2 linked regions of the Saccharomyces cerevisiae S288C genome follow. Changing the gene in region 1 together with any one later gene gives a genetic interaction. Each region holds a gene or a part of one and is shown in the gene's direction. Other genes may lie near its edges.

Evidence for each region. Genes that interact genetically often act in the same process or in processes that back each other up.
Region 2: of SPT4 (region 1) and RAD26, a mutation in one rescues a mutant of the other (synthetic rescue), as found in Saccharomyces cerevisiae (6 studies listed by BioGRID, with this or other methods).

What each region holds. Positions count from the first base shown.
Region 1 is NC_001139.9:616,812-619,984, reverse strand, and holds SPT4 (transcription elongation factor SPT4), read left to right. Parts: upstream 1-2,160; coding exon 2,161-2,469; downstream 2,470-3,173. Other genes in the region: VHT1 (Vht1p), read left to right, coding at 127-1,908; membrane insertase COX18, read left to right, coding at 2,707-3,173.
Region 2 is NC_001142.9:495,664-499,295, forward strand, and holds the start of RAD26 (DNA-dependent ATPase RAD26), read left to right. Parts: upstream 1-1,691; coding exon 1,692-3,632. Other genes in the region: RAV1 (Rav1p), read right to left, coding at 1-788; PET191 (Pet191p), read left to right, coding at 1,020-1,346. UniProt on the Saccharomyces cerevisiae protein: May be involved in the preferential repair of active genes.

The sequences.
Region 1 (3,173 bases):
ATTCCCAAAAATCTGCATGACTCTTACGGCTATAACATAACTATATATAAAGGCTCTACACCCACGAGCAATCGCCTTTTCATTTGTTTCAATTTTCAAAAAAGGACCGACACAAATCAATAGATAATGACAATTTCGAATAAATCGTGGAGGAGCTACTTCCCACATTTGAGAAAACTACCCGAAGATGATCAGTACTTATACTCAGACGATACTAACTCCAGTATCATAGCTGAAGAGGAGCTACATCATAGCGTAGATAAGTCCTCGAAGACAGACGTTACGGCAGAAACTACAGCTGTAGAACCTCATCCTCACAATTTAAGGCATGACTTGCCATATGAAGTGAGAGATGAAGCTGGGCGTAAATGGTGGAAATATTTTGATGAATTCGAGTATCGTGTTAATAAGGAATACAAGAAATCACGTAAGTGGTACGAGTTTTTGTATCCTAATCATACTACTCAAACCAAGGCTGAAAGACGGCTTCTTTACAAGCTAGACATTATTATTGCTTTATACTTTTTTATGTTATGTTGGTCCAAGTCAGTGGATTTGAATAACTACACTAACGCATATGTTTCCAATATGAAGGAAGATTTAAACATGAAAGGTAATGATTACGTTTACACTTCTACTATTGCTAATGTTGGTGCCATTGTCTTCCAATTACCATTTATGTATTTGTTACCAAGATTTCCCTCTCATATTATTTTGCCTGTAATGGACTTGGGCTGGACTTGGTTCACATTTGCATGTTATAGGGCAAACTCACTAGCCGAACTAAGGGCTTACAGATTTATTTTAAGTGCCTTTGGCGCTGCTTACTACCCAGTGTCCCAATATATACTAGGTTGTTGGTATGCCCCAGATGAAATTAATTCAAGAGTCTGTTTATTCTTTTGTGGGCAACAATTGGGTTCCGTGACTTCAGGACTTCTGCAAAGTCGCATATTCAAAAGTTTGAACGGCGTCCATGGTCTAGCAGGCTGGAGATGGATGTTTCTGATCGATGCCATTGCAATTTCTCTTCCCACGGCTATTATTGGTTTTTTTGTTATTCCCGGTGTACCATCTAAGTGTTACTCTTTATTTCTGACTGACGAAGAAATACGAATTGCAAGGGCCAGAAATAAGAGGAACCAAATCAAAGATGGTGTTGATAAAAGTAAGCTAGCCCCATTATGGAGCAGAAAACTTTGGAAGAAAGTATTTTGTACTCCAGCATTCTGGGTACTTGTTGTTTTTGATACATGTTCGTGGAATAACATGACTGCGTATAGTGGTTCATATACTTTGTGGTTAAAGTCTAATACAAAGTACTCCATTGCCCAAGTGAACAACCTGAGTGTTATACCCGCATGTTTAGGATTTGCGTATGTGATTTTTTGTGCCTTTGGTGCCGATTTATTTAGATGTAAGTGGATATTCATGGTTTTTGCTGCTATAATGAATACCGTTTCTTGTGCCTTACTTATCAAGTGGGATATTCCTTCGAAAGCTAAATGGTACGCTTTCTTCACCACGTATTTCAGTGTGGCCGCATCGCCTTGTCTATGGTCGTTTATTAATGACTTCTTAAGGTTTGATCCTCAGGTGAAGGCTATTACATGGATCGCCATTTATTCCTTCTCTCAATCCACTTACGCCTGGATTCCTACCTTGGCGTGGCCTACCGTGGAGTCACCACGTTTTAAGACTGGTTACACCGTGAGCTTAATTTTTGGTGCTATTTACGGTTTATGGACGTTTGTTGTACTTTTTTTTTACAAGAGAAACGAAAAGAAACATGCTCTAGGTAATGGTATCATCTTGTATGATAGTAATAAGGGTGAAGAGCTTCCAGAATTTGTAAAGAAAAATATGGAGGAAAGAGATGGTTACTACTATTTAAAGCGGTCCTCGTAGTCCAATTTACGTGAAGTAGATAGGTATATTACGCTTTAGACACCATACCTCAAATAAATATATTCATGTATATAATTTAATCATCTTCTATCTATAATTAATCTCGATGTTGATAAAGGTCACCTTATACGTTCTATGAGTGAAATCGAGTGAAAAAGTGAAATTTAAGAAAGGGCTCGAAGGATGTACTGTGTAATAATTACACCTGGCCACATTCAGTTTGGCAAAAGCGAACGAGGTACAGTGTAAGAGATGTCTAGTGAAAGAGCCTGTATGCTGTGTGGCATAGTGCAGACCACAAATGAGTTTAATAGAGATGGTTGTCCCAACTGTCAGGGTATTTTTGAAGAGGCAGGTGTTTCTACAATGGAATGTACGTCGCCTTCTTTCGAGGGCCTCGTAGGAATGTGTAAGCCTACTAAGTCGTGGGTAGCAAAGTGGCTGAGCGTAGATCATAGTATAGCTGGTATGTACGCCATCAAGGTCGATGGTAGACTACCAGCTGAGGTTGTGGAGCTGTTGCCTCACTACAAACCGAGGGATGGCAGTCAAGTTGAGTAAAACCTTCCGTTCTGATATCACATGTATAATAGTAATGAATTTTTTTTACTTTTTTTTTTTTTTAGTAAATATTCTAGCATATGAGTTTATGCTTTCATTTATTTAACGTTCTGCACTTTTGTTTTTGCTGGCAAACCCAATTTTTCTACCGTCCAGTAATTCAACTAAGGCTAAAAAGACTTTCATTAGAAAAAAAAGGTCCAAGGATAGGAAAATTTCAAGATAAAGTATGGCATTATGTTAAAGAGGTTAGCCAATCGTCAAAATGGTTTTGCGTCATTCTCGTGCAGCTCAGTCGGTCTGCGATATGGTAGGACTAATCCAAGTACAAAGAGAAGCTTTTCACTTTTTCAAAGTGTAGCGGACACGTTTTTAACAGTGCATGAAGCCTCACATATACCATGGATAGTGCTTGTTCCTTTGACTACTATGACCCTTAGAACCCTCGTGACGCTGCCATTCAGTATATGGCAGCGGAGGAGAATTTTGAAACAACAAGAACTGAGGAAATTAGTACAGCCAATAACGCCCATTATTAAACTTCGACTGGCAGCCGTTACTAATAAAAAGTCTAGAAATGCCGCCAGAATTAGCTCCAACGGTTCTTTCATGCCGTTACAACTACAGAATGCTGGCGTTTTGACACCAGAACAAATTACACTATTGGCAGTGAAAGAGACAAGAAAGAGGCAGAAAAAATTATT
Region 2 (3,632 bases), on another chromosome or scaffold:
ATGATCCAATTGTCTATTATCACGCAGAACTTCTGCGTGGGGGAAAGAGGCACTTCACCCCATATTTGCACAGTATGGTTTTTCTCCATTTCAAAACAAGACCATATTCTCAGAACTTTATCTTCACACAGCGTATAAAGAGCATGAGAGGCAGTGTTGTTTTTACTCACCTGGTCTGGCTCTTTTTTCCACCGCATTGCAGTTATAGGTTTCGGATGAGGCAACATAGTAAGGTTAAAGATGGCTTGTTCTCCGACTATTGAAACACGCTTCCATAGTTTAGCATTACAGTCGTACTTCCCAATACTGACTATCAGCTGCGAATCTTGTGATATAATCACATTATAAACAGGTTTAGGCTGTTTTTGGTTCCACTGCAAAATAGGTTGATACACACCAAAATTATCCTTAATTTTCCAAAAAGAAAGAAAATCAGATCCAATGGCTAACTCATTATCAGAAGACCATCTTAGGCAGTTTACTGGCGTGTCATCATGGAACAACTGGCAACATTGGGTCCACTTGGGATTCTGCATAATTTGATGAATGGGCTTGTAGATGAGCACCCTATTGTGGAAGGAAAGGGCAATGAATCCATTCTGGCTGTTAATATCGACCGCAGTACAGTCTGATTGTGTATATATGGTCTGTAACCTAGTGAATTTGTTGGTAAGTATGATTAAATTATTCCCTGAACAATATGCAAAGATGGTATGATTTTGCCATGTTGCTTGACAAGCTGTCTGAGGGGTAGCATTGGGGCGTCCTGGAAGAAAGTTCAATGACATGAGAACTACCTTTGCGTGTGCACGTTTGTTTACTTTCTCAATTGTTTGCGGTGTTCTTAGATCCCTTTAATTATTAAAAAAACTGAAGTGCTTGAAACAATAACATAACGAGGTTTCGCTATGCGGGCAGCTTTAAAGAAAGAGGGATAGTATATTAAAAGGCTGCCATAACAATTAATCGGAACAGAATAGACACAAATAAATTTGCAGTGCGTTTGTAGATATCAAAGAATGGTAGCTAGTTGTAAAGATCAGAAGAAGGCTGTCGCTATATGTTTGCAGAGATCGCCCTGTGTCATGATAGAGAGACATAACCCTCAAGAATGTCTTGACAATCCAGAGCTGAATAAGGATCTGCCCGAACTTTGTATTGCTCAGATGAAAGCATTTTTGGATTGTAAGCGAGGAATCGTCGACATGACTAAGCGGTTCACAGGTAACGCACCTCTGTCGACTGGCAAGTACGATCAACAGTACGAAAACTTGTGCAAAGGAAAGTTTGATCCGAGGGAGGAGATGGAAAAGCTAAAACTTCTGAACAGCCAGCAGAAGGACTGATTATTTATGAAAATTGGCCTGTAAATATATACATAAATAAATATATGCGTCAAGCTCTTTTATTCGGTTTGTCCAGTAATCCTCTTACAATATATATATATATATATACGCATGTAGCGTATTCAAGAACATTACATTTAAAAAATAGAGGGTAGAACAATAAAAATGCACTTAACAAGTTCCGTAAGTAGAAATTATAATCAGTCTAAGTACAAATTTATACCTTAGCTTCATTTCAGTTAAGGGCGATGCAATAAAAGTGGAAGAAAAAAAAAGAAGGGAAGAGGTTTGATAATATATATATATATATATATATAACATTGCTCAGAGAAACATACATCAGTGATGGAAGATAAAGAGCAGCAAGACAATGCGAAACTTGAAAACAATGAGTCACTAAAAGATCTGGGAGTTAACGTGCTTTCCCAAAGCAGTTTGGAGGAAAAAATAGCTAATGATGTAACTAACTTTAGCAACCTACAATCGCTGCAGCAAGAAGAGACTCGTCTAGAACGGAGTAAGACCGCTCTGCAACGTTATGTCAATAAGAAGAATCATCTCACAAGGAAGTTGAACAATACCACTAGGATATCTGTTAAGCAGAATCTCCGAGACCAGATCAAGAACTTACAATCAGACGATATTGAACGAGTTCTGAAGGACATAGACGATATCCAATCAAGGATTAAAGAGTTGAAAGAGCAGGTAGATCAAGGTGCTGAAAATAAAGGTTCCAAAGAGGGGCTGCAGAGACCCGGTGAAACTGAGAAGGAGTTTTTAATCAGGACTGGTAAGATCACTGCATTTGGACACAAGGCTGGTTTCAGCTTGGACACTGCAAACAGAGAGTATGCCAAGAATGACGAACAAAAAGATGAGGATTTTGAAATGGCAACAGAACAAATGGTAGAAAATTTAACGGATGAGGATGACAATCTCAGCGATCAAGACTATCAAATGAGTGGTAAAGAGAGTGAAGATGACGAAGAAGAAGAAAATGACGATAAAATTCTCAAAGAACTGGAAGACCTGCGGTTCAGAGGCCAACCTGGTGAGGCGAAGGATGATGGGGACGAGTTGTATTATCAAGAAAGGTTAAAAAAATGGGTGAAACAACGTTCTTGCGGTAGTCAAAGGTCATCGGACTTGCCAGAATGGCGAAGACCTCATCCGAATATTCCCGACGCAAAACTTAATAGCCAGTTCAAAATACCCGGTGAAATATACTCGCTGTTATTTAATTACCAAAAGACGTGCGTTCAGTGGCTCTATGAGCTTTACCAGCAGAACTGTGGCGGTATTATTGGTGACGAAATGGGTCTGGGAAAAACGATTCAAGTTATCGCATTTATCGCAGCGTTGCATCATTCAGGTCTATTAACAGGCCCTGTATTAATTGTCTGTCCTGCAACTGTGATGAAGCAATGGTGTAATGAGTTCCAGCATTGGTGGCCTCCATTGAGGACGGTCATATTGCACTCAATGGGTTCAGGAATGGCTTCTGACCAAAAATTTAAGATGGATGAAAACGATCTAGAGAACTTGATAATGAATTCAAAGCCAAGTGATTTTTCTTACGAGGATTGGAAGAACTCAACAAGGACAAAGAAGGCATTGGAATCAAGCTATCATTTAGATAAGTTGATAGATAAAGTCGTTACTGATGGGCACATTTTAATTACCACGTACGTTGGGTTAAGAATACATTCAGATAAGCTACTAAAAGTTAAATGGCAGTATGCTGTTTTAGATGAGGGACATAAGATTAGAAACCCAGATTCGGAGATTTCATTGACTTGCAAAAAACTGAAGACACATAATAGGATCATTCTTTCAGGAACACCGATACAGAATAATTTAACCGAGCTTTGGTCGCTTTTTGATTTCATTTTCCCTGGTAAATTAGGAACTCTACCTGTGTTTCAACAACAGTTTGTCATACCTATAAATATTGGTGGTTATGCAAACGCAACAAACATACAAGTTCAGACCGGCTACAAATGTGCTGTTGCATTGCGTGACTTGATTTCACCGTACCTGTTACGTCGTGTGAAAGCTGATGTTGCAAAAGATCTGCCACAAAAGAAAGAAATGGTTCTCTTTTGTAAGCTTACGAAATATCAAAGAAGCAAATATTTGGAGTTTCTGCATTCTTCAGATTTAAACCAAATACAAAACGGTAAGAGAAATGTTCTATTTGGTATCGACATTCTAAGGAAAATATGTAATCACCCCGATTTACTTGACAGAGATACAAAGAGACATAATCCAGATTACGGTGATCCT